Linked DNA regions of Astyanax mexicanus. The protein of the gene in region 1 purifies or fractionates together with the protein of each later gene. This does not show direct contact. Links are inferred from orthologs where the notes say so. Each region holds a gene or a part of one and is shown on either strand. Other genes may lie near its edges. The genes, in order: larp7, nop56, pop1 and ppm1g.

Region 1 (7,035 bases):
TATTAAATAATATTATATCACAATATTACCCTCTGTGTGTGATTTATTAAAAGAAATGGCACTGAACAGAGTACAATCTTGTGCAAGCTTTGTTGTTAAAATGTGTACAAAGTGATATATCATAATTTAAAACCTCAGAATGCCTATTAATGCATCCTGGGAAACAATACGACATGACTTCAGTGAATATTGTGTATTTAACAGATCTAAGGCAAATGTACATGTGTTGCCAAACAATTTGTGTTTCATATGGAAGGGTACCTTGTGTGCTATCCTGTGCTGTACACAAAGGGACAGGATTATCTGTTAAAGACTTTGGGAAAATGCCTGCCTTCCTTGGAGCATCCTCTGGAGGGTTGTTCAACATCTATGAAATAGAAGATATTGCGTAAATTATTGAATTGTAAAGTTAGCTTCTAAAACACAAAAATGTAACCCAATAATTTATCATGTGAAGTAGAATCCAATACCTACCTCTATGGCTTTTTGTGCTTGAGCATCTGTCTCAAACTCCACAAAAGCAAAGCCCTTGGGGGACTCTGAAATCTTGTACCTGGGTATACTGATGTACACTACATTCCCACACTTGCTAAACACTCGTTCTATCCAAACATGGGTCACATCTTTTGGCAGGAGTTCCTAAACAGACACATAAGTTATGATCAACTGACAGATAAACATTTACAGATAAAAAATTAGCCAATAATAAAAATGATGTTTACCACATATACTGTGCGGCTGTCGATATCTTGAGGTTTGTCCCCCAGTTGATTTTTACGTCTTATTTGAGTTCCTTTGAGATTAACCTGACAAATAATAAATCCAAGAATATCAAGTGAAGGCACAATCATTATTACTATCATTACTATCACAATCATTATATATTTTTTTTAACATACAGGCAATTCTTACCTCTACCACAGAGGAATTTGTGAGAGCTCTCGCTATTAGTTTAACATCTGTGGTCAACTTTTTCATTTTATTGAAGGTTGTTAGAAGAGATATGTCAACATCTGCAAAACAAGACCAAAACGTGCAATGAGTTTATGTTTAAAACAACTACATGGATTTGACAATAGATTTAATACATTCTTTTTATTAATGCCGCTTTAGACACTCATCAATCAAAGACAACAATGACAGTCATTCTAAAACTTGAGGTAATCTCAACTTACAACCATCTCTTGATTTACTAATGACGTTCTGTAAAAATTTGTCCTTGTGAAGGTTCACATCATCAAACCAGAATTCCACTTGTTTCTTCACATCTGCCAACAGCTGTTTCACCCGAGACCTCTTCTTTTTCTCATTATCCTGCTTCTTTTCACTGAGCTCCTTGGCCTTCAGGTCTCCTCCAGTCGACATGTTCTCGCTGTCTGTCATACCTGGAATTTACAGCAATAATGCAAAAACAAATTTATGTGTGAAAAACATATATGTGTGAATAAAATGATGATGATGATGACGACTGTTATTTGTTATTTTTAAACAGAACTCCATCACTCCAGAGAACTTAACTAAGGTCATGTTTAAAACCATTAACTTATATTTATGTGGTACACAGCACATTTCATTAATTGCTTTTCTATTTGGATTGAACAAGCTGTATGTGTGTAAAAAAAGGGGTATCCACAAGAGAATTTTCTTGTGTATGAATAACCAATTCCCCGGAAAGAGAATTCAATAAAGCATTCAAAAAATGTAAACATAGTTTTGCCAGAAGCACTGTGAATCATAAGCATAACCAAGCTCTGTTTTAGACCCAGTCACTTAACTCTGGACAAACTTGCCAAAGAGACTTTAAGCTCATTATGTGATTGTGCCCCATTAGACTGGAAATGCTTTTCTTGGTGTGTGACTCAACACACAAGGAAGGGTGACTGGACATAACTGGACACTCCTGGACGTATAGTCGATTTCTGTACAGACATTCATTGTCAGACTAAAATGACAATATTGATACCTAAATATTAAAAAAAAGAGATCATCAATTGAATGAAAATAATATCAGACCTACAACCTGTAATGACACAAAAAAATACTCTGGAATATAATCAAGAGGAAGATGGATGACCACAAGCCATCAAACTAAACTGCTTGAATATTTGCATCAAGAGTGGCATAAAGTTATCCAAAAGCAGTGTGTAAGACTGGTGGAGGAAAAAATGCCAATATGCATGAAAACTGTGATTAAAAACAGGGTTATTCCACCAAATATTGATTTCTGAACTCTTAAAACTTTATGAATATGAACTTGTTTTCTTTGCATTATTTGATGTCTTTTTATTTTGTTTTTTGTTATTTTATCTATTTTTCATTTTCTGCAAATAAATGCTCTAACAATATTTTTATTTGGAGTTTGGTAGAAATGTTATCCGTAGTTTATAGAATAAAACAACAATGTTCATTTTATTCAAACATATACCTATAAATAGCAAAATCAGAGAAACTGATTCAGAAACTAAAGTGATCTCTTTTTTTTTTAGAGCTGTATATAGACAACGCTGAGCAATGAAGATTCTCTATTGGAATATGAGTGTAGTAGTACAGGATCAGGGTACTGTACTAGTATTTTCTCTGCTCTAACACGTTAATCATGTTCATCAGTTCGCTCTCCTGAACTCTGTGTGTTAATCACTAACAGTAGGTTGGGTAAAACAGTGAAAAGACAGTAAAAGCACAGGGCAGGAGCTGCAGCAGGTAGAGCAGCTGTATCTCACCTGATGGTCGAGCCGAAAGCGCCAAACTCAAAGCAGCACCATCCCACTCTTCACTGCTCTCTGCAGACCGGGTGTTCAGTCTAACTGCTCCTCAGCGATCACATACACAATAAATCCGTTCTAAAACAGACCCGCCGGTACACGGGGTTATCTGCTGTGTTTCTGCGTCTCCTCGGGTGTTTTAATGATCAGAATCAGCTGCAGGAGGAACAAAAACAAACCCTAAACTCCGGTGTGGTAAGTTAGCTTCGGCTAGGCTAGCGAGGCTAAGCGTGCAGGACTCCGGGCGCACACTGATGACCCAGTAAAGAGGTTCCCACCCCGCCACGCTTTTACCACGCCTTCACCTTAATTTTTTTTATACTGATTAGGTTGAATATAACATGTAAGAATGTTATTCTTTGGTTTAAACTGTAATATATCTACTGTTAATCATATTTTGAATATTTTTTCCCTTTTTGGGAAATAGTATAGTATCTACACAAATCTAACTTCTTAAATTCTGTCATCCTGTTCTTTAAGGTTTTCTTTACCTACGTATATATATCTTATATTTATATATATATATAAATATATATATATATATATATATATATATATATATATATATATATATATATATATATATATATATATATATATATATATATATATATTTCCTGATTCACTAGTGTCTTGAAAACAAATTACAAAATTTGAGAAATTTACAAGAAAGCATTTACAAGCTACGTTGCATTATATTAGGTGTCCACCAGGCGTCTCCAAAGTGTTCAAAACCTCTCCAAGGAAGTGCCAAGGAAGTAAATCTGTCATTAAACAACAAGAGTTTAATATTTTTTTGTTTGTTTGTGACAAAATAATGTTAGTCCATTTCAGAGTAATATTAATATTAATAATTTTTAAATTAAATTAAATGACACACAAATCCACACGTGTGCGCGCTGTGTGCGCTCTGAAGTTCAAAGTTTTTTTTATTATTATTATTGGTTGAAATAGGTGTCAATCACTTTTATTACCCTGGAGAAAAGCTATGACCTGATTTGATTGGTCAGCTCTGAACACCAACGTGATCCAGCCCTCACGCTAATATTTGACATATTTGTTTGTGTTAATCAGTATCAGAAACAGCTCAAATAAATTAATTAATCAATATAGCACTCTCCCGAGTTTTTTCTTTTATTATGCAAATTACGACTACTTTTTGAAAAACTAATAGAATAGTAAAAAAACACCAGTCTTGCAATCCTCCCTATTGCTAGATATGTGTTGACTATAGTTGATACTAAACTCTAGTAAAGTTACTGTTAGCTAAAGCTTCAAATGTACAGAAATGTATGGAAACCGCTCAAAGCAAATAGAAAACTACCTGGGAAAGACCTGTCACTATAAAACATCTGTTTTTCAACTGTTTCACTGGATCGTAGACTCCATATGTTTTTCCACTGATTTAAAGAAGGTAGGCTCTATATGTTTTTCTACTGGATTAAATTATGGTAGACTCGATTTTTCTACTGATTTAAAGGACGGTAGTCTTTCTGGATTTACTGGTTTAAAGGTTGGTAGGCTCTTTATGTTTTCTACTTGTTTGAAGCAACAGACTGTATTTTTTTACTGTTTTACAGGATAGGAAAACTAGCATCTAGACTCTATTTGTTCCTCTTGTTTATGTTTTTCTAATGGTTTAAGGAAATGGTAGACTTTATATGTGTTTCTACATTTTAAAGGATGGGAGCTCTATCTGTTTTTCTGGTTTAAAGGATGGTAGACTCTATCTGTTTCTCTGGTTTAAAGGACGGTAGACTGTATCTGTTTCTCTGGTTTAAAGGATGGTAGACTACAGCTGTTTCTCTGGTTTAAAGGATGATAGACTGTATCTGTTTCTCTGGTTTAAAGGATGGTATATTGTATCTGTTTCTTTGGTTTAAAGGAAGGTAGACTACATCTGTTTCTCTGGTTTGAAGGATGGTAGACTATATCTGTTTCTCTGGTTTAAATGATGGTAGATTATATCTGTTTCTCTGGTTTAAAGGATGGTAGATTATATCTGTTTCTCTAGTTTAAAGGATGGTATACTATAACGGTTTTGCTGGTTTAAAGGATGGTAGACTGTATCTGTTTCTCTGGTTTAAAGGATGGTGGACTCTTTCTGTTTTTCTGGTTTAAAGGATGGTAGATTATATCTGTTTCTCTGGTTTAAAGGATGTTAGACTCTACCTGTTTCTCTGGTTTAAAGTGTGGTAGATTATATTTGTTTCTCTGGTTTAAAGGATAGTAGACCATATCTGTCTCTCTGGTTTAAAGGATGGTAGATTCTACCTGTTTCTCTGGTTTAAAGGATGGTAGATTCTACCTGTTTCTCTGGTTTAAAGGATGGTAGATTATATCTGTCTCTCTGGTTTAAAGGATGGTAGACCATATCTGTCTCTCCGGTTTAAAGGACGGTAGACTCTATCTGTTTCTCTGGTTTAAAGGGCGGTAGACAATATCTGTTATGCTGGTTTAAAGGATGGTAGATTCTATCTGTTTTTATGGTTGAAAGGACGGTAGACTCTATCTGTTTCTCTGGTTTAAAGGATGGTAGACTGTATCTGTTTCTCTGGTTTAAAGGACTGTAGACTATATCTGCTTCTCTGGTTTAAAGGATGGTAGACTATATCTGCTTATCTGGTTTAAAGGATGGTAGACTATATCTGTTTTTCTGGTTTAAAGGATGGTAGACTATATCTGTTTCACTGGTTTAAAGGATGGTAGACTATATCTGATTTTTTTGTGTAAAGGATTGTTGATTATATCTGATTTTCTTGTTTAAAGGATGGTAGACTATCTGTTTCTCTACTGGTTTAAAGCTACGTCATCCGTTTGCACAGCCACAGAGCCAACCACATTTCTAGACCTGCAGTTTTAGATTTGCATTTTCAAGCTAGTACATGTAAGGCCATAGAACCAATGAGACTCAGCAAATTGTACAACAGAGATTAACTGTAATTACTTTCATTGGCTAATCAAAAGTGTAAAGTACCTGTTTAATGGTTTAATGGAAATTGGAAAAAGGATATCTCATGTACACTGTAAAAAATTTGAACACTTTAATTTATAATCCGTAAGCAACAAATTTCCTTTTTTTTTTAAAGCTAGTACAACTTTATGGCTCATTTGTTCTCTGCACTTACACAATTAAGTTGACCTAACAAGTCTTAAATGTTTGCTTAACTTAAATTATCGAATCACTTTAACATAGAATTCATCATAGTTATTTTATCATTATCTAATATTTTAAGTTGGCTGAACTTAATATATTTACTCACGGTAATCGAAAAATATATGCTAGACTTGCCAACTAAAAAATGTGTTAAAATTAGTTGCTAAAACATTTTAAGTTAGATTAACAAACTCAGAAGTGTTTGTTGTACATGTCAACAGAAAAACACTACTAAACTAAACAATTTTTATAAACATATAGAAAATAAATATTCATTGGCTCAATTTAACAAATTTAGCTTTGACTTTGAAGTTTTGATCACACAACAGTAGTTTAATTAGCTCAACAGTTTTTTTCAAGAATTGTTGGCTTTAATTATTTAAATATGAAAGTATTTCCAACATTTTTAACATATTTTTATAGAACTAACATACTGTGACAATTTAGACCACAGAATAAGAGTGATACGTTTTTAAAGCCTACAAACACTGAGGCCTGGCAATCAACACTTACATTACACTGAGAATGCATGACTAGGATAAGGTACCTTTGGGCAACAGACAACACAAAGATAGTAAATAAAGGAGAGGCCACACCCAAAATGCTAATATATGGTGCCAGGAGCCTATAGGAAAGCTGTATGAACCCTACTGTGAAAAGAGCATTGACACGTGTGGTTTACTAAAAGTTGGTTGAAATCAAATGTTTTCATTGGCTCAATAAGCATTTTTAAGTTTTCAGGTTGAAATTGTCTGAACTCATTTTATTGAGTTGTACTGCCCGGTAAATTCACTCAACTTGCTAATATTATTTCTCCTGACTAAACCACAAAATCACTTTTTAGAGTGCATGCGGAAGTGCCTTAAATATCAAGCAAGGTAATGCTGCAGACTGGAAACCGAAATGGGCAAGGATTTGAGACGAAATTGTTTTTTGGAGCACTCACCATCATGATGAAAGGCAGAATACTTGCCTTATATATCCCCAGTCTTCAGTTGTAGGGTGTGTTGGGATTAAAGTTGATGCTGATCAAGGGTGAAATTACTGTTATCTAAAGTTTCAAGCGTTTAAAAACATTAGTGGAAAAGGCTCTAATATAAACCTTCTGGGAAAAAC
Region 2 (6,938 bases), on another chromosome or scaffold:
TCAGATTAAAAAATTGCGTAAAGCATAAAATAAATCTTGCATTTGGTCAGAAAATTAGATATGAGCCAGTTTTCTCTTTAGTGTAAACATAACTTTAGAGACATCTAATAGTAATAGAAATAGGGGGGAGATAATATGACCGCTGAATGGAAACCCAGCTACTACTAAAGATCAAAACTTCCTCAAACCTCTGATAATTTCTGCCACCACTCCTCCAGTCTGAATGGACAGGCCCAACTCTTCTTGCAGTGCTGCTCCAATCTTGCCATCGGCCACACCAAGCATAGCCTTCTTCTTGCCTCCAGAAGGCAGGTTTGTTTCCAAAAACAGTTTAAGGTCTGCATGGACGACTCCTAACAAGAGATTCAACCACTTATCAGTTATTGATCATTCACTTGTGTCTTTAAGAAGTTTTATTAACATGTAGTTTCAGTTTTCACTCAGATTCAGTTAGGTATTTTATGTTGTCAGCACAATCATTCAGTGGATTGACAGACTATAATCACATCACTATCTGAGCTACACTATCAGAGCTCAAAGCCTGGTTTTACTTACCTTCTGAAATGGCATTTATGTTCTCAAGTGCAGCCTGTGCAGATTTAAAGGGGAAAAAAGCTGCCAGTTTTACAACAGTGTTGAATTTCCCAATATTCAAAACACTTTCCTCCACCTGAATACAAAAAGAGCAAAAAAATCTAATCAGATGCTGCACATAAAATTAGCTCAGCACAAAAAGACACTAAGAAAATGTCCTGAAGATTTAATAAAATAAAAACGCACCTGAGGTAAAAGCATGCCGATCTCTTCAACTTCTTTGACGGCGAACAGGGCATAGCCTGACGCATGCTCAAACAGCACGTGTAAGAGCACCTGGAGGGGAATAAATAAGTGAATTTAAAAAATTTGTCCAGCTATAAAATCTCTGAAATTACCCATCACTACCATATTGTATGAATTCTAAATTTGTTTTTTATTATTATTATAATTATTCCCACTTTAGTACCTTAAGAACACACTTAAAACTACAGACTTGTCAGCTAAGCGAAACGTTAAAGATATCAATTTTAAATATTTAAAATATACAGAATTTCATTTTAACAGGCAGCCAAAAATGCATCAGTAGTGTCAGTCATCGACTAAGCAAAAAATAAAAGATTGACTGATACTGATATCCTGAATATGCTTACTGTTGATACAATAACACACAATATGATAAAACATTGATGTATGTAAGCTCTAGATTAAAATAACTCCTAATTAGGCAAAATGATTTAAAACGGGTTTGTACCAAATTTGGTATTTGAGGCTTTCGATTTAGGGGTCTCTGAATTATCTTCCGGCTTCATTTAAAGCCGCGTTTTAACAATTTTACTGTGTTTAAAAAATGTTGAGTAAAAGATTTCGCAATAAAACAATAATTAGTTGTTGAGTGTAATACACGTGGCTTTTTAACACGGTTATTTTATAAAAAACTTTTTTTTTTTTACACTGTGCAGAATTATAGGGATATGAGATTAAAATGTTTGCTAATATCACAGAGCCCTTGTTACACTAATAGGGTCCCATGTTATTAAACGTACAATAAAAGCAGTTAAACTACAGCAAAACTAACAATCTAAGTTATTTCTCAAGGTAAATAATGATATAGATTATTTTTTAGTTCAGGTACTTCCACTTAAACTAGTCAACGTTTAAGCTCACAGGGGCCAATTTATTTATTTATTTTTTTTAAAGATTTATCATAAAACTTATGCTCAAAAAAAGATTTTAAATTAAATGTTAAAAAAGTAAACTTAGGCTCACAGGGACCAATAGCTTATTTTAAAAAGGGTTATTTAAGATCTTAAACATTATTTTTTTCTTTAAAAAATTAAATATTAAAATCCTAAAACATAGAAGTAATATTTAGCTAGCCCGCGTTTAGGTTCACAGGACTCAAAACTTAATTTTACGGTTATATTAAGATATTAACACACATTCTAGAAAATAAAAGAAAAAGATTACAGTAATATTAACATGTTTTTAGAGTGATGGCTAAAGCATAGCTTTATCTATTTAAATGCCTGTAACTAACTGTTAGCTAGTTTAGTTTAGCTGAAGTCGCTCAAAAACGCTGCAGAAATGCAGACACGTGGTTTGCGCGTGAACCGCTCCTGCAGCCCTGACCTCTAGAAACAGTAAAAATATTACTTATAACTTATTTAATAAACGTTAATGAACACGGAGGATACATTAGAGCAGATAAAGCTCACATGGGAGTCTTTTTAATGGAGAAACTTGGCTATAACCAAATAAAATGTTCAGTTTCTTCCAAACGCTAACGCTAGCTATGTAGCTTAACCTAGCTAACGCTAACTGGTTTTGAACACATGTTGAAGGCGAGTGCCCCACGTGTTCCTCCTGCAGACCATATCCACTCAAATTATACATTTAATAAAACGGATTCATATAAAATAAAAGAAAAATATAGCTTTAAATAAAATAAATAACGTATATTGCAAGAATGTTTTATGCTGCGCTGCGTTAAAGGGAAAAACGCCATAGGAAAACTAGGCCAGGGCCTAACAGCAGCAGCAGCAGCTACGCAACGTGATTATTAGCTAACAAACATTTCAACAGCTATTTTTAGACATTCTGGCTTAAATTAGACCCCAAGCTCACTTTATAATTTTCATAAAATGTTTAAAAATAAGCATAATTCACTAATTCACAATTTAAGGTAATGCCAAACTCATACAAATTCAGCTAAGTTACACAAATATGCCCCAAATTCTAGTCGATTTTAAGCTTATTTATCAGAAAATGCCAAAAGTTATTATCACAACCAGCGTAATTAAAGCTTTAACTTTTAGAATAATGCGCTAATAAACGAGTATTAAATAGTATTTCCAGGTAAATAAAGTGTTTAAAAGTGGTAGCTACCATCCTGCTCTGATTTCCGCGTGCCTCCCTCTACTGAAGCTGCTGCAGAAAGAAGAGGCTGCATGTGCTGCCGAGGGGAGGCCATGTGGAGCTTTATGTTACCACTCTCGCGAGATTTCAGATCCGTGCTGGTACAACAGATCTCGCGGTGTTTCTCTTATAAAAACAATAAAGTTAGAACTTCCTCTGATATTATAGCATTAAATTGCATGGATATTTAGCTAGAATAACATTTATTAGGATAATTTTTAAATTATAAACCCTGAGTACTGTGTATTATTTACATGTGAGGAAATATATATATTATATCAAAACCATTCAATATTCATTTTCCAATCTACTTGGCCTACCTCATGTTTAAATTGTAGTATTTATTAATAAAAATATACATTAAAAATGAGCATTTTGCTCATTTATAACAATCACAACAAAAATAATAATAATATCAGTAATTCCGATAAACAATATTAATATAAACAAGCGTAAATATAATAATACAATACTATTAGTTTGCACATATGATTTTTATATATCTTGAATTTATACATGCATTGCTTTTAACAGCACTTAACAAACAAAAGCTTTTTATTTAATTTTTATTTCAAAATGTAAAAAATACTACATTTTTTCGAGTCTAGGCAGAGTACAAAAAATATATAGATTATTTTTTTTCTTTTTGTTGGACGTATGTTTTCAGCCATTTTTACACACATTATTTATTAATATAATGATGAATTATTTATTAAATGCCTGATAATTATTGTTATTATTTATATTTAATTTAATATACATTTAAAATATGTTTTTATTTTATTATTTTTTAAATTATATATATATTTTTATATTTCACATTTTGACATATAGATCATTTAATGAAATTTAATTTCTATATATTTATTATATATATTTATTATATATTTTTGTCAGTTGTTCCGCGTTAAACTGCACCGGTGCGCCCTCTGCTGGGAATATATCATCATAGCCTCTACTGCTTTAACACAAAAAGAAACAACTATTAGATTTAGTTGTTGGACTAGTATTTACATTTTACATGTGTGTAGGGGGGTTTGGTGAGAGGCACAACACAAAGCATTTGTGCTTAGAGCGCCCAAATGGCTCCTTTCTCCACCCGTTTCTCTACCCCTTTACTTCCTCTCCACCACTTTCTTCTTCACTAATTACTTATAAAGAAGTTTAAAGTATTTTCAGTTTCCAAGGTGACTCTCCTTCAGTGGCAATGTGATTCATAACTGCTTCCCTTGTGACTTCCTTTATAGACTCATTTCATTTGTTCCAGTGAATTTTGGTTTTATGCTGCAGCTCAGTGAGTGGCTTAAAGAGCTGTTTTATAGCTTATCTAAATTAGTTACAGAACTTAATAAACAGAAGAATGATAGAACCCAATTGTGATGTCATAATGGCGATTGCAAGGGAACCCCATTGTGATGTCATATGTGACTGTACTTTTCCAGGAAGATCAATGAGCTTAACCTGAATATAATGTTTTAGTTTGGATAATAATTTGTATAATATCTTTCACACCTTAAATTGTGTTTGTTATAATATTTATTTGTATATATTAGAAATAATTGTACCTTGCAAAACAGAAAAAAAGAGTTGTACAAAAGTGTTTTTTTTGTTTTGTGTTTAAAAAGTAAAGTAAAGTTAAGTAAAAATCCATCTAATATATAAACATAGTTATATTAATAATTTTAAAATCACTGCAGTAGGGTAGAAGGCAGTTGCATGTGAAATGTCATAAGTTATAACATTTTGACAAACAACTTTTGATAACAGAACAGTTAGTTCCCAACTGTACACATTCATAAAACTTTCTAAAACTAGGTTAAAAAAGTTACTTTTAAATCTTTTAAGTGTCACAGAGCAGCAGTAACTCAGGTACTGAGTGATCAGGATACACTGAGTGCAGAGTGTGCCAGTGCTGCTTGCTGGAGAGAAACATTGTACGCATTGTTGCTGATGGAAACCAGATGTCTGAAGTATTCAAGGTCTCACAGTGTTTATAGCTCACTCCATAGTGCACTGCATGGTACCAACAGACAAACACCAAGACCCCTGGTCTTTGATCTTGGAAACAAGATTTTGATTCAAATCAAATCAACTAAAACTGCATGTTTTACACACAAAATACAAACTTACACAAAACACAATTTATCATGACTGTATATGGGAGACTGACAGCAAGAAACTGGACTGTAATAAAAAATTCTGAGTAATATTCTTTTTACTGACAGAAATTTAGGAAAGACAATTAAAGTCAATTAGAAACTTACTCTAAACATTCAAAACAACCTAAGACAACAACTTGAGGAATGATAGTGCTTTCTTTTTTATGCATTATGATGCTTCTCTCCAAGATTCACCTGAGGACAATTTAGAATAAATTACCAAAATGTACCAAAAAAGTTTCATAGAAATGTATAAATTATGCATAAGAGATTATGACAACCTGTTCAGCACTTTTGCATGTAATGACCCAGGCAGTGACCGACAGCCTAAACGTTTTGGAGGGTAAGACAATTAAACAGATAATCAGCTCATCACATTTTGATGGGCACGACATAAGCAATGGATAATGCAAAAACAACAGCTGATAATTGAACATGACACGCATTTGCAAAATGTGAAACACAATGAGAAATGCACTTATGAAGTGACACAGAGATGTGGAGACTGAATGAACTGTTTTGAGAATTTCAATTCTGATCTGAAAAATGCACCAAATCGACTGAGAAAAACTGTGAAAAAAGAACAGAGCAGCCAATCAGAAAAGAGTCTAAGTTGCATCGGCCCAGATTAAATATAGGCCCGATTCTGTCCCAAATGCTCAGTTCGTGCATGTGGCAACAATTGCATGGCAGGTATGATACAGCAGTCAGTCAGTGCCACATGTGCCAACTGTCACATGGTCCCTGTCTGTTCTCATGCTTCTGTGTTTATTTACCTTTTTTTCTGGCCCTGTCTCATGTCTGTGTTATATCCCCACGTGACCTGTGCTCCTCGGTGTCTCCTGTCTCAGTAGTTTTCCACTCACCTGTGTTCCTTTGTAGCTCCGCCCCTTAGTCCCAGGTGTTTCCTGTTTCCCGTGTGTGTCCACCACTATTTATAGTCCGTGTTCCCTTTCTCTTGTGTCGGTCCTTGTATTATTTATTTTTAAGTCTGTTATGGTTGCGGCTCTGTTTCCAGTGTTTCCTGTTTTCAGTTTAGTTTCAGTTGTTTATATGTTTATTTTTGTCTTTTGTTTATTGTTAAATAAATATATTCGCATTTGCGTCCGCTCTGCTCGCCATTCCTTGCTGCACCCTGACACCAACAACCCGGTTTCTGAGTATAATAATATGGAAATTGGAATCACAACTGCAAATGCCTTTAAAATGTCTTTAATTAACATACATTGCTTTATGAACTTCTTTTCGTTTTTACTATATGTACCCCATAACTTATTTTGGTATTTAAAAAAATAGAGAAAAAAAGAATTTGGCTTTATATAGTATTTTTAATAGTGTGTTTACAAGCCATTAGATATTCCAACTTTTCAGAGCAGTTCTGTAATGCTGTATTGTGATAGGGCAGGAGATCTGCTGTTCTCTCAGTGCTTTAGAGCTTAGCAGTCAGTCTCTCGCAGTGCTCGAAGGCCTTGGCTCCTAAAGCAGGGTCTCTGGCCAGTGGAGCTGGGAGGACAAGGGAGCAGTCGCTGTCAAAATACTTCCCTGTGATCCCCTCAGTGTCTTCTGATACAGCGCAGTATATCGTACTGACTGCGCCTTCCTCTGAAGACTGAAATACATGAACACAAAGCATTAGGAACGTCTGAGGATTACATATTACAAGGCTTGTTGTTTTGTGTGTATTGGTACTATAAATTATAGAATTAGATGCTGTCAGCACCATAAAACTAATATGTACTGTTATGTAAAACAACATAACTGCTTTGTAAATGCTTTGTAATTTACTCAAGAATGTTTTTGGTTGCTTCAGATCCCACAGTTTTTGGC
Region 3 (7,934 bases), on another chromosome or scaffold:
TAAAAATAAGTTTTATACCCATTTTTTTTTTATTTTCGAATTTAGCTTGATACGGTAATCTGTCAAACCATGATACCCTAGTGTATAATTTAACCACAGAAAAAAGCACCATATTAGAGCATGTTCCCAGCAGAAGTCCCAGTAGATGTAGCGTTAGTATATTTGGATAGCATAAATCACTGTATCATGGTAAAGTTATGTCAATGAGAGGTCATTACAAACTGGTTTTGTATTAAATGTATTAAATAATAATTGTATTTATTAAGTTGGCTTGTCAAAGCCAACTTATAGTTCTTCTTATTCTTCTTATTATTATTATTCTTCTACGCTAAAATTTCTCAACGCTACTCCTCCTACAGTTTTCGAGCTAGAACCACCAAACTTCACAGGTTGGTAGAAACCATAGCCACTTAAGTTGCTTGTGCTTTTCTAAGCGATCGGAGAACCAGGGTTCTAGCACGGTTCCGTCAAAGTCACTTTTTTCCCCATAGACTTCCATTCACACTTTTTTCAAACTGCTGTAAAAGTCACAATTTTCAAGCTAGAACCACGAAATTCACAAGACATACAGAACTTGCAGAGACGTTTCAGACGATATGCTGATCTCACCGATACGATTTACGGTTTTCGTAAAAGTATCGTACGAACTTTCCCCATAGGAATGAATGGGCGGAATGTTGGCCATCTCACACACACCAGCCGATCCTGCGCACGGCCCCCCTCTCTGCCCTGCTCCTCAGTACTGTATCTGTATGGAGAAGAGACTGCTGAACACAACCCACACCAGAACCAATACCACACTACACACACCACACACACACACACCACACATACACCACACCACACACACTTCAAACCACACATACCCCACACCACACACACTCCACATCACACATACCACACACTTCACACCCCACACCACACACACTCCACACACTCACCACACGACACACAGTCCACTCCCCACACTCACTCCACACCACACATACTCCACACCACACAAACTCCACAGTCCACACCACACACACACCCCACACCACACACAGTCTACACCCCACACTACACACACTCCACACCACACCCTACACACATTCCACACCACACATACCACACACCAAACACACTCCACCCCACACACTCCACACCACACATACCCCACACCAAACACACTCCACACCAAACACACCCCACACCACACACAGTCTACACCCCACACTACACACACTCCACACCACACCCTACACACATTCCACACCACACATACCCCACACCAAACACACTCCACCCCACACACACTACACACCACACATACCCCACACCAAACACACTCCACACCAAACACACCCCACACCACACACAGTCTACACCCCACACTACACACACTCCACACCACACCCTACACACATTCCACACCACACATACCCCACACCAAACACACTCCACCCCACACACACTACACACCACACACACCCCACACCACACACAGTCTACACCCCACACTACACACACTCCACACCACACCCTACACACATTCCACACCACACATACCCCACACCAAACACACTCCACCCCACACACCACACATACCCCACACCACACACACTTCAAACCACACATACCCCACACCACACACAATCCACACCACACAAACCCCACACCACACACACTTTAAACCACACACACTCCACAGCTCACATACCCCACACCACACACACTCCACCCCACACATACCACACACAATTCACACAACACCACACATTCCACACCACACATACCCCACACCACACACACTTTAAACCACACACACACTCGATAGCTCATATACCCCACACCACACACACTTCACACCACACATACCCCACACCCCACACACTCCATACCACACACACACTCCACAGCTCACATACCTCACACCACGCACACTCCACCCCAAACATACCACACACTTCACACCCCACACCACACATACCCCACACTCTCCATACCACACACACACTCCACAGCTCACATACCCCACACCATACACACTCCACCCCCACACATACCACACACACTTCACACCCCACACCACACATACCCCACACTCTCCATACCACACACACACTCCACAGCTCACATACCCCACACCATACACACTCCACCCCACACACACCCCACACCACACACACTCCACACCTGACACAAACCCCACACTCCACCACACATACACCACACCACACACACTCCACACCACACATACTCCACACACCACACCACACTCTCTACACACCACACCACACACACTCCACACCTGATACACACAACTCACCCCACACTCCACCACACATACACCACACTCCACACCACATTCCAAACACACCACACCAAACACACTCCACAACCCACTCCACACCCCACACACTCCACACCACACACACACTACACAACTTAGTAACTATTTGACAAGCCAACTTAAAGTTCGTTCACGAACTTTGCCTTTTCTAGTTACTATTATTATTTTTCATTTAAACTTTTGTGCAATGACAGTGATTCGATGTTGTTTAACGCACACAAAAATAGAATTATTATAAACAAACACGAGAAATATTTAAAAAGTGTAGGTCAGCGCATGCGTAGTGCCTTTAGAAAGTACGTATTGATGGGCAGCATATATCGACTGAACAACAGTCAGAAATTAACTGCTAAACGTTACACCCATCGGGAAAGATCAGATCTAGCTGGAAAACAAACACACTTCTGACAGTATTTCTGCTGAAACAGCGAGATGAATTCGCTACTGCTGCAAAACCACGCCGCACTCAGACACTCTGATCACACCTGATTAAAATCATTAATATTAATGAATTAATTCACACGCTGTAATGAATAATCATGTAATCAATGCTCACTGTAGCGCCGGATCAAACGCAGAAGCGTAGAGAGCCTGAATAAGACGAGTTAACACTTTAGTCCTGAACTGAGCTCCACTGTGAGTTAACTGCTTCCCCACCATCAGCACGCCACTACCCACACACGTGTTCCAGCACTTCCGGGTACAAGGGGCTTATGGGAGTTGTAGTTCTGCGACAGAGGCTTGCTTTTTTAAAGAAGAAAAATAAAATAAAAACGACATAATATACATTTACTCATGGCATTTACTTACATTTATGATATACACCAAATAAAACTAGAAAAAAAACAACAGATAGATAAAACGTTTATTTTAAGTTTTTTTTCTCCTGTTTAAATGTATACATCATGTGCAATAAATTAACACATTTTTATTTATGATCAAATAAAAAAAAAAAAAAATATATATATATATATATATATATATATTCAATTGAATATGTGCTTAAAATTAGACAGTAAATTATCAGTAAAGATTATTATTCTAAAAACTACAATTAAGTACATGATAAACACAGAAATAAAATTCAAGAAAATGTTAAAATACAGTACCAGTCAAAAGTTTGGACACACCTCTTCTCATTCAATGTGTTTTATTCTTTTTAATGATGTTTTACATTGTACATTTAATATTAAAGACATTAACGCTATACAGGAACAGGCAGAATTATTAAGTTAAACAAACCAGAACACGTTTTATATTTTAGATTCTTCTAAGTAGCACATTTATCTTTGAGGACAGATCTGCACACTCTTGGTATTTTAATCTCAGTGTCTTCATGAAGTAGAGATACCTGGAATAGTTTTCTCAGTGTCTGGAAGGTGGAGTGTCCTGGAGGTGCTGAACACTGTGAAGCTCTAGATCATCTCAAATCACTCATCACAGTTGATCAGGTTTAGATCAGGGGATTGTGGACAAACACTTTTTATTGTTTAATACGTAATCCCATATGTGTCCCTTAATTGATTGTTTGAATCACATTTTATTTATGCTTTATTCTTCTTTTATTATTTCCATTTTTATTGTTATTCTCTTACACGTTTATGTGAGTCTTTTTGTATTTTCTAATTTATAAATCACTTTAAATGACCATTGTGTATGAAAAGTGCTATATAAATAAACTTGCTTTCATGTCTTTAATAGTAATTTACAATGTAGAAAATACATTAAATAAAGAAAAACGTTGCATCATAACATTTATCAGTTTAATTTTATGTTTCAGGATAAATTTAAACATAGAAAATTGTTTATAAAACTTGTTACAAAAATGTTTTTTTTCATTTACTTCAGTAAAGAAGAAATTGATCTGCTTTTGCAATCTTTAGTGTTCTATTTCTGACTTTCACTAACAGAACTGAAAAATTTACTCTCCTTTCAACTCTTTTTTTTAGATGTAGAACTTAATAATAAACTTACTATTGTTACAAGAAAAATCTAAAAAATTGACAGAAGATTTTTTTTATTTGTCCTAAAATTGTGAGGTGCAGAAATAAAGAAAATAGAAAATTGGAAAATTAGATTAAAAAAAAAACTATTTCTTCTATACTGCACCAAATTGTAAGAGTTACATAATAAAGGTGTTTAACCACCAATTTTCTATTTTCGAAATTAGCCTAAACTGAACTGATAAACATTACACTGACTGAGAAGCTGCGTCATAACTTTTGACTGGTACTGTACATTGTAAGTATGTGTGCATGTATCTTTATACAAACTATCGATGTTCCTACGATGTTAAAAATGAAATATGGCTGTATTTATACAGTATTAAATTAAAGTTAATGCTACTGCTGCTACAGAGTTGGTATAGTTGACAGTCAAAGGTGAGGTAGTTTACAGAAATGACAAATAATCTGCAATGAAATGCTGACAGTAAGAGATTACATACTATAAATGTTTTCTTTCCTTTTTTTTTCTTGTGCTGATAATTAATTGGCCCATCATCTATGTTGTTACATGTGTTGTATTCAGGAACCTTGCAGCTCTAAAAACTGAATAACACTCTGATAATAATCCAGCAAAATGATCTAACAGTCTTTTTGGGTGGAAAAACAGCCCTGCAGCTTTCAGAGGCAGTCTTGTCAACAGAATATCAAATATGCGCACCATCTGCTTTTTTTTTCTTTTTTTAGAATTCATGCCCTTCAGGAAGAGAAGAACAGGGACCACAGCCAATCTCTCATTCAAGTGCTTACGAAAAACTGCTGAGAATAAGAATTCCTAAGAAAAGATTCAACAGAAAAATACATATTTCAACATATTATATTATATTATTCTAATTCCGAACTACTGTAAACCAAGTCTCATTTCTTACTTTAGGCAAATGTGTGTATACTACTCTCTCACCTGCTCATCTGGTCCCAGATGCCATAAAGTTATAAAATCATCCTGCTTTGAGGCAACTCCCTTTGCTGGAACTTATCTTAAACAGACGAGTTTGAGCTGGTTTAAAGGAATCACTGCAGGGAGAAACATGCCTACATAAGCAGAACTAAACTGTCACTACAGATCATTCTGTCTGCATACACTCAATCCATGCTGTGAAGCATGAATAATGTGGGAAAGTGTGAAGACACACTCCTCACTAATGCTGCAGTTCTGATGTGTTCATAAACTCTGTGTAATGTCTGTGGACAACCCTGGTAATGAATGCATCATTTAGCTCCTTTATTTTGCATCCATTTCTGACACTGAATGATGACTGTAAATGCATATCGTCGCTGTCCAATGAAAAACAAGTATCTCCAAAACAGCAACTTTACAGGAGAGATATAAAACCTTTTTTAACTTTCAATGGATGTCAATGTTCAAATAATTTGGGAGGATTTCTATTGGCCCATAAATCAAGACATCCTGACAAAGTATAAGGGAAATGTGGGTAGTTGAAATAATTTAGTAAGCTAAAAATCAACAAAAATGGAGATACTTGTTTTATATTGGACAACAACGATAAAAAGAACTGGTATAATTAATGTACATATTTATTACCAATTAAATAGAAACTTCTTAAGCAGATAAACATGAACTAATCAGCACCATGCCTAATGCCAGGCATGGGCTAGAGTTGTATAATACCTTTTATAATACCCCACAGCATTGAGCTGTGTAGCAGTGGAACTATGATATCTAAAATGGTGGTAAATGTATACATCCTGTGCAATAAATCAACACAATTTTTATTTATCATCAAATTTAAAAAATATATATTTTCAATTGAATATGTGCTTAAAAATAGGACAATCAGTTAAGATCATTATTCTAAAAAAACACAATTAAGTACATGATAGTACGATTCAGTACGTTTGGGTTGAGTTGGAGAGTTGGGGATGAGTTAAGGTGCTAATTTAGATTCCTGGCCTGTCTAACACCTGTCTAAGTACAGTAGTAACAGTCAGGCCTTTTAAAACAACCCCTGTAAAAGAAAAGTGTATTTAAGTATTTTTTTTAAAGTGTACTTAACATGAAAAAGTACATATTTTTTTTATTAAAATATGTACTTAAATAAATATAAAATGTACTATTTTAGAACAAATTACGGCAACTTAAGTATATTTCAATTGCAATAAAGCTATATTTAAACACAACATAAAATCATTAAATTGTTGGGGTATTCATTCCACTTGAGACCACAATGTAAATAATACAAAAGTTAGAAGTAAACTGACAAAATCAATGAACTAAAACTGAAACAAAGTACATTGAAAAAAAAAGAAAAAAAAAAAGAATTACAAAATCAAAAAATAAAAATGCACTACTGACTGTGTACTACAAAAAAGGAAGGGTTTTAGTTTGATACAATATAAATCACCAAAATCTGAAATAGTGTACATGGAACAGAGCATTATTCTGTCTTCATTTGCTATCAGGTTGGTACAAATTAGTGCAGTCACTGGTTGTTTGTGCATATTATTTGAACTGTAATAAATGTGCATTAAACTTTATATTATTCTTCAATCCAGAACAAATTAATTTTTCTAGCATGGTGAAAGTTATTAACATTACACTAGCTGACATTTGGCCTGCCATTTTAAATGTGTAAAGCTCATAATTCTGACTTTGCACCTGGGAAGTTGGACCTTTTAACTGGATTATATATAAAGGCAGCATTATCTCCCATCAGATCTGTGTTCATCTTGGCCATGTGATTGTATTAATAAGGAGACCCCACAGTGGTGCAAACAAAAATAAAAAAAACAGAAATTTCTTCATTAGTAAAAGTAACTTTATTGGTTCTGTACACTAAAAAATGTGAAAAAAGAAGAATCCCATGCAACTACAATACAAGTTTGCAACATGGGTCCTGCTACAGATTATGAATTCATTAGATACATTTTCCCAATAAAACCGTTAATGTAATTCTCACAGAGTAAACGGTTAAGAATCCAGGAAAAACCCAATAATAGTGAACTCTGAGCACAGAGGGAAGGAAAGGACCAGTAACACAATTCACATTTTTACAGGAGAGGTTTGACTGGTGTGAGTTATAGGATGCAGTTTTTCAGTACTAGCTTCAGTAAGCTAGTGAACACACAAATAAGGGTAGCACACACTATACCCTACCAATAAAAATATTACATATGTCCGTCTGTTTAATTCATTCACTACTCCTTGTTCTATGCATTTGCCTTTAAAAATTCAGCTATAATGACTGTTAGATTCAATACAACAGTTTCAAACAGCTCAATCTATTTTAAAATGTTTATATGTACATATTATACATTATAATCATAGTTTTATGGCTACATCCTTGTTTTTTCCACTCTGTCATTTTTTTCAGCTGCACTGATCATATAGGAGCACTTTGTATTTCTAGAATTACAACCCAATCTACAGAACCCTAAAAGACCACCACAGATAAGGTATTATTTGGGAAGTGGATAATTATCCATCCTGCATTGACACTGACGTGGTGGTTGGTGTGTGGATCAGAGACAGCAGTGCTGCTGAGTTTTTAAACACTGTGTCCACCCACTGTCCTCCACTATATTAGAGATTCCTACATAGTGTCTACTTTGTAGGTGTAAAGTCAGAGACAGAAGCTCAT
Region 4 (7,247 bases), on another chromosome or scaffold:
ATGGCATCAACACGCTAGCTGCTCTAAATTTCTGGTGAAATCCATAAATGCTACTTATCAAATACCAAATAATTGACAGCTAAGGTCCTTTCATTTAACCAGCTGCAATATCCTAGCAACCACTGTTAGGTGTGCGCCTCGCAAACAGAGGACACATGCACAAAAGCTGCTTTAAAAGTACACAGAACATCTGTGTACACACAATTAACACTGCTTAACTCAGGGCCTGACACTTGCTATGGTTTACCAGTGCAAAGCCTTTACATTCTCTCCTTGAAATGGTCAAAATATACTTTGTGGTTGAAAGGAAGACTGATGAATGCACAGCTGTAATCTTCTACGCTTGCACAAAAACTACTGTGCTTACCTTTTGCAGTTTGCCATCTTTGTATGCCTTCTGCTCCTTTATGATGTCGGGTAAATATTTGGAGCAGTACAAAGCAACTTCTTCACCTGGAAGGAAAGAGAAAGTGCATATGTCTTACTATCAGGCCCACATACTGCAACTGATGAACTGTTGAATTTGTTCTAATGTTTTAAATGCCAAGGTCCTCAGAATTCTACCAAGCATGAGTGGGGCTACTTTGAGCTTGTTAATGGTGTAGAAATTTAGAAGAGATTTATTTTATTTATTTCGAAATTGATTTTTACATGGGCAACACTATGCACCCATCACTTGCATTGTAGGTCTGCTGGGAGAATTGTCTAACAGTGCTGTATTTTGTAATGCTGGGGGTGAACAGAAGTGGGCTATTATACTGTTATCAAGTTTAGCACTAAATCAAGTCCATTTCACACCAGATTTCTCCTATAACCTGGTGTGTTGAATAGTTGCAGTGGAGGAAAATTACTACCGGTAAATATTTTGATGTAACAAATTTCATAACAGTTTGGTTAAATGGTTGGAAAAGCTCAATAAAATAAGCACTAACCTTGCACACCTACAGTCTGTAAATAAGGTCAGATAACGAACACAGATTCACACAATGTCCTGTGATGATGCTTTCAGGATGCTCAGTATGTGTCACTTAGGAACTTTATGAGTTAAAATGAGGAATAAAGTAAATTAAGGAACTTTACATCTCTTTTAAAGGGTCTGTGACGTGTAAAAAAAAAAGGTGCCCCTTTCTTTGTGCGTCACCCCACAGGACATTACACTACAGAAACTTAATATTTAGTTAGCTAATGCACAGAAGAGAAAACAAGCTCATCTCAATTCCAAGAAAGGGGTAGTGTTAACTGATTTAATGCGCTTTTACATATCAGAGCAGAGGCTGATAACGACTATGTTAGCTAGGTACTTGGTGATTAACGCAAGCCACGTTTCCTCACCTCCATGTCCATCATAGACAGCAAACATAGCAGTCTCGTCATCCAGCTCGGGAATACAGTTGTGTGCATCCTGTTAGTGTAGATATAGAGGAATTATCAGAGTGGATGAGGAGGGCTGCAGAGCTGGAAGGCCACAGAACAATGCAGACAGCCATGTGGCGGCGAGCAGACAGAAAGTTAAACTGGCGCGAAAACCCGCGCACACATCACACTGTTCAAACACGACCCTGAGAATCGCAGCTAAGCTAACTAACCTAACTCATTCAAACAGCTTAGGTAGTTAGGTTATAATACCTAGTGCTGCATGGCTGGTAAACTAGCTACATTGTCTGAAGCAGCAGAATGAAAGAGAATGAGGCCGGTGTTGTGTCGAGTTCTGCTACCTTGTCAAACTGTGCTACCTTAGTGTATGTTTAACTGTAAAAATACAAACTATTAGAACATGCTGCATGCAGCAGCACTGTCGGTATGATATTTGAATAGCATAAATCGCTATATCAAGGTAAAGTTAAGAAAGTATAGGCGATTAAAAAAACATTTATATGTGCATTTTTTGTTACTTTTTACACTGTTGTTACACTCAAACAAACGATGATTTTGAGTCTAGATTGTACAAGGCATCCGGAAGAATAAGTTAATTATCAGGAAAAACCAAAGCAGTTGGTACAAAACCCTGGATTGGGTTTTTACTTTCTGGACCTGGGTTACCCACCTCTAAGGAAAAAACACATGAAAACAGTAAAAAAAATTATATATATTTTCGCGCCTGCGCAGAGCCGCAAAGTAGCACATATCGATGGGTAGCACAACTCGATAGGACACCGGCCCTCACTTCGAACTCCATTAAGTGTATTTGAGTTCAATTTATGAGCTGCAGTTAGCTGTATCGAAGTGAACGGCTAGCTGAGCTTAGCTAATATTAACTAACATAACCCCACTGATTCTGCCTGCTCCAGGCTTCCCATAAGATAGCTTAGCTTAGCTATATTAGGTTAGGTTGGTTTGTTACCTCCATGGAAATGCGCCATCCCTGCATGGCTGCAAAGCCGTACTGGAGCTTGTGGTTCCCGCCGTCGGCCGAGGTTTTCTCCGTGTTGGGCTGAGACAGGTATGCCCCCATGATCCAGCCGAGCTAGCTAAGCTATTGTTGTGGGAGCTCGAGAAGAACAGCACGCAGCTGGTTAAGCTACAAAACAAACCGAGCTGTTTTATTTAAGCTAGCTTCAGCTAACTCACAGACGAAGCAGAGCTCAGAAGCGGCGTGTCTGGTGGAGCTCAGATGGGCTCTCCAGCATTTCAGAGGCCCGGGCAGAAGAGAGCGAGGAGCAGGCGGTCAGTTCGAGAGCTGCTGGCGCTGCTACTGCTGTTCACCCGGTACTTTTCCCCGGCTAGCTAGCGCCTCTATAATCACTGCTAGGTTAACTAGCGTTAGCCAACGCAGGACTATAACGTAGCTAGATTAGATGCTGCTGCTGCTGGAGTTTGAGCCAATCACAGAGTCGCTCTCACAACCGAGAACCTAACTACACAAAAACACACCGGCGGCGGGGTTCAGGAGGCTCAAAAAACACACAGGAAAAATGTAACACGTGTGAGGGGCATAATCAGCGGCGGCAGCAGCCTGTCGGACCCATTTCACAGACTGGTGTTCTCTAAAGGAAGTGGAACCAGAGCCGGTTTTCGGAGAGCCTGCCCACTTTCTCCTTCCCCTCTCACCGTTATATCAGAGAATTACAGCCCACCGCTAGAGGGAACCCGCGAGGGAGACCCAAATTAATGGGAGTGAATAGAGCTAAACGGCTAAACTCAAATTAAAATAGTATCTAACTGCTTGTCCGTTATATTCCTTTATTAAAGGTCGCATTTTATCGTTTTTTTTAATAATTATGCAGTGGTCTTTAGTATTAATGAATGCCCTGTAAGTCAGATTTTTTTTTGAGGAAAGTGCAAGAGGTGTCAACTAACAAAGTACGGATACTTCATTAGCTACCTTACTTAAGTAGAACTTTTGGTTATCTCAGACGACTTTTTACTTGGTGTTGCTATACACCTGAAAATATTAGATCTGTATGTATAATAACTTTCATTATAAAACATTCATTTAAAAACTGTTTCTCCCCTCCACCATATGTGAGTACTGGTCCTCCCCAGGTTTCTTCCTCCTCCAGCTCTGAGGGAGTTTTTTCTTGCCTCTGTCCCTCAGTGGGGTTTCTGTATTGTATGTTTTGCCTGATTCTCTGTCCCACGATCACATTTATTTAAAGCTGATCAGTTGTTCAAAGTGCTATACAAATAAGTTTGGTTTGATTTGATCATTTCTAATTCTTACATTTAAAAAAATGTTAGCCTCGTTACTCTTATTTCCTTTCAGCTTGTTTTCATTCCGGCTTCTCAGCATAAAAAAGTATCCAGATAAATCTTTCTATATTAGGATAAAGGGACACACACACACAGAATAGATTCTTAAGTGGCTATTCTCCTCTCAGTTGTTTTTTTGGTTGAACCGAAAGGCCCGCATAATTGGTAGAGTCGAGCTGATGGAGACTGAAGTTGCGCCTTTGAGCAAAACGGCAGTCGATAGACCAAACATTCAAACAGTGAATTTTTAAAACATTGATAATCAGATACTATAGTTAAACAACGATATAACATTTCACAATCCTACAGATGTCAAGGCATATTAATAAAAACGAAAAAAAGAAAAAATATTCCTGTGGAATGTATAATTTACAAAAATATGTAAAATATAATATACCGTGCATGTATCCATTGTTTTAACAGTTCTGTTATTTTTGGAAATATTTTTAGTAAACGTAAATTTATAAATAAAACATTTATTTAACCCAAACAATACATAACAACTAAGCAAAATGTTTTCATACACTTTAATCTCACAATTGCATTAGACTGTTTTATTAATAATAATAATAATAATAATAATAATAGTAATAATCATTTTCTCATAAAATACAAAACATAAAACGGGGAGTATAAAAAATACAAGGAGATTAAAAGTGTTGCATTACAGGACTTTAAACTTTATTAAGAGAAAAATTAGATCTCATTTTCATTTTTTTTTTACAATGATTTAAAATATTTTAAATGTTTTTTTTTTCGTAAAATCGTAAAGTAATGTTGCAATTACATTAAAATCTCTAAAGAAGTTTCGTAATTTCAATATAAATGTTTGTGGTGGATGAAATAGTGAAAATATAGAGGCAGCAGTCAGAATAAATTTTAGATTAAATTGATCTCAAAACAGAGCTTGGCAACATGGCAATATTTTATCATATTTTAATAAATTTTCTATCATACAGACACTATTATTTTTACACATATTGAGATCATAAACGCTTAAAGAACTCTAACCCAACTGTACATTTTATTACATGCTGGTTATAATGAAAAAAAATGTGTATTGTGTAAATGTCTTTAACTATCGTGGCCATCCATCTCAACATATCTAAACCTATGGTTTTGTCTTGGTTATAGAAAATAATACAGTACATCAATACACAAGGGCGTAGGAGTGGGTTTGACATTAGGGGGACACATTTGCTAATATAAAACAAAGCCCACCCTATAGTTAACAACATGTATGTAATTACTTTTAATCACAAATCTGTACTTCTCTTTATTATTAATTACATCAAAGTAAAGGCCACTTTACAACCTAAACGTTACTCCACATTACTGTTGTTAGAAAAAATTATGCGTGCGTATATACATATATAACAAAAACTGACCAGTTATCACCTAATATTTAAAATAACATAGGATATGTGGTTATTATTATTATTAGTAGTAGTAGTACTACTATGTTTTGGCATGCCAATTCTGTTCTATATTTGTATACTTACATTTGCTCCACTCTTAAAAATAAATAAATAAAGAAAACGCAACTACATAAAGAAAACGCAGCATTTCAGAAACGCTGCGTTAAGAAAAACGAAATTACTTAATTACGTTTGCCACACTGGAAATGCTCCCAGCCGCTAGAGGGCGCTGTTTAGCTGCTGTTGAGCTGGCGTGTCAGCATGGCCGCCATATTGGAGGAGGCAACATGCGCCCCCCAGTGCATTAATTTACACTGAGGAAGGTGTTTAGTACACCTATAATAATAAGACCTTTCACAGGATTTTTAGTTACAGGAGATACAGGACGCTGTCACACATTACAAATATGTGCTTTCATGCTGACATACTTTGTTTTATGCTCTTTAACAAAGACAGACGTACGGTATGGCATATAATAACTGTATAAATGAACTAATTTAATTTTTATATGTACACACACATACTCTTCATTTTGCTCAAATATATACCTATAAAGAGCATTACTTTTATATGTATGTACATATAAAAAAATAAATTATTTAATTTATACTGTAATGTATATATATAATGTATATAGTAATGCAGTTGTGCTGTCATTTTTTGTTTGCTTTATGAATGCCACTGTATTATTTCGTTAATAGTACAGCTGAGCTGAACGGAAGGATATCATTTATGCGAGGGATCAATATCTGGTGGCCAGGCACGGTCCGGCACTGGGCGCTCACAGACCGGGCTTACACCCTGTTATGCTAACGCCGCATTAGCGACCCCGTGAGCGGGCCAGAGTCTCTGTGTTAGCATGCTGTTATGCTAACACCGCGTTAGCATGCTATAATGCCACCCCAATAAGTGGACCTGTGTCGGTTTAGCTTGGACCAGGGCAGAACACATGGTTATTTCTTTTCATGTTTTTGTCACTTTCTTAAGGGAATCAATAACAAAAAGTATAATGTATTTTTTTTTTGCAAACTTGTTAAAAAAAAAGTTCATTCGAAATGATTTAAGACTTTTTTGTGAACTGCTTTTAAATATTTAGTAGACTGTTGTATGTTTTGTTCACTTTGCATTTAATCTGAATCTGTAGATGGGACTGTGAAACTGAGTTTTTGTTTTCAATTCCTAAATATTTTTGCACAAGTCTGTTACATTTTTAATTCATTAAGGTGAATATGTAAATTGAACTTGTTTTGATTGAGTTAGACTGATTTAATATTTAAAGGTGACTTTGTAAATTGAGCTTGTTTTAATTGAGTTAGACTGTCTTAATATTTAAAGGTGAATATGTAAATTGATTTTTATTTTATTGAGTTAGACTGACTAAATGTGTGCTGTAAACCCTGGGGAATAGCTTGTATCAATGGGGTGATTTTATGATAAAGCGGATAGAGTTTGTGCTGTAAACTCTGGGGTAGAACTTGTATCAGTGGGGGGATTTTATGATAAATCAGATAGAGTTTGTGCTGTAAACACTGGGGTATAGCTTGTATCAGTGGGGTGACTTTATGATAAAGCGGATAGAGTTTGTGCTGTAAACACTGGGGTATAGCTTGTATCAGTGGGGTGACTTTATGATTAAGGGGATAGAATTATTGCTGTAAACCCTGGGGAATAGCTTGTATCAATGAGGTAGTTTTATGATAAAGCAGATAGAATTTGTGCTGTAAACCCTGGGGAATAGCTTGTATCAATGGGGTAATTTTATGATAAAACGTATAGAATTTGTGCTGTAAACTCTGGGGTATAGTTTGTATCAATGGGGTGATTTTATGATAAAGCGAATGGTCGTAGTTTAGTGATGTTACTGAACGGACTGTAATGACTCGTATCGGCCGATTAGCGGCGCTGCTGGACATCTCTAGTTACTAACTTTGTAGTTAGGGCTTCATTTACTGTGTTCCCAGCAGTAGTTTCATTGAAAACACCCTCATGGAATGCTGGCGGTTCTAGGGGCGGGGCCACGGGGCATTGGCCCCAGCTTGAAGTGCATGTATACTCTCACTCTGGCCGAGAGCGATGATCAGATTGTAGGTGGCTGCAGTTCCATGCGCATGCGCTAATGAGCCCAATAGGAAAAACACA

The links.
Region 2: the proteins of larp7 (region 1) and nop56 purify together in Homo sapiens (affinity purification with mass spectrometry; 3 studies listed by BioGRID and IntAct, with this or other methods). This does not show direct contact. The link is inferred for Astyanax mexicanus from reciprocal best matches to the Homo sapiens genes LARP7 and NOP56.
Region 3: the proteins of larp7 (region 1) and pop1 purify together in Homo sapiens (affinity purification with mass spectrometry; 3 studies listed by BioGRID and IntAct, with this or other methods). This does not show direct contact. The link is inferred for Astyanax mexicanus from reciprocal best matches to the Homo sapiens genes LARP7 and POP1.
Region 4: the proteins of larp7 (region 1) and ppm1g purify together in Homo sapiens (affinity purification with mass spectrometry; 3 studies listed by BioGRID and IntAct, with this or other methods). This does not show direct contact. The link is inferred for Astyanax mexicanus from reciprocal best matches to the Homo sapiens genes LARP7 and PPM1G.

The regions. Positions count from the first base shown.
Region 1 is NC_064415.1:28,221,266-28,228,300, forward strand, and holds the start of larp7 (la-related protein 7), read right to left. Parts: upstream 3,012-7,035; 5' UTR 2,721-3,011; intron 1,386-2,720; 5' UTR 1,384-1,385; coding exon 1,176-1,383; intron 1,014-1,175; coding exon 913-1,013; intron 807-912; coding exon 723-806; intron 640-722; coding exon 475-639; intron 368-474; coding exon 262-367; intron 1-261. UniProt on the Homo sapiens protein: RNA-binding protein that specifically binds distinct small nuclear RNA (snRNAs) and regulates their processing and function.
Region 2 is NC_064424.1:42,801,235-42,808,172, reverse strand, and holds the start of nop56 (nucleolar protein 56), read right to left. Parts: upstream 3,024-6,938; 5' UTR 2,926-3,023; coding exon 2,923-2,925; intron 871-2,922; coding exon 781-870; intron 671-780; coding exon 556-670; intron 354-555; coding exon 189-353; intron 1-188. Other genes in the region: zgc:64106 (retinol dehydrogenase 11), read right to left, coding at 6,541-6,720. UniProt on the Homo sapiens protein: Involved in the early to middle stages of 60S ribosomal subunit biogenesis. Required for the biogenesis of box C/D snoRNAs such U3, U8 and U14 snoRNAs. Part of the small subunit (SSU) processome, first precursor of the small eukaryotic ribosomal subunit.
Region 3 is NC_064408.1:108,227,371-108,235,304, reverse strand, and holds the start of pop1 (ribonucleases P/MRP protein subunit POP1), read right to left. Parts: upstream 3,026-7,934; 5' UTR 2,889-3,025; intron 1-2,888. UniProt on the Homo sapiens protein: Component of ribonuclease P, a ribonucleoprotein complex that generates mature tRNA molecules by cleaving their 5'-ends. Also a component of the MRP ribonuclease complex, which cleaves pre-rRNA sequences.
Region 4 is NC_064414.1:18,138,133-18,145,379, reverse strand, and holds the start of ppm1g (protein phosphatase 1G), read right to left. Parts: upstream 3,018-7,247; 5' UTR 2,453-3,017; coding exon 2,342-2,452; intron 1,403-2,341; coding exon 1,333-1,402; intron 454-1,332; coding exon 368-453; intron 1-367.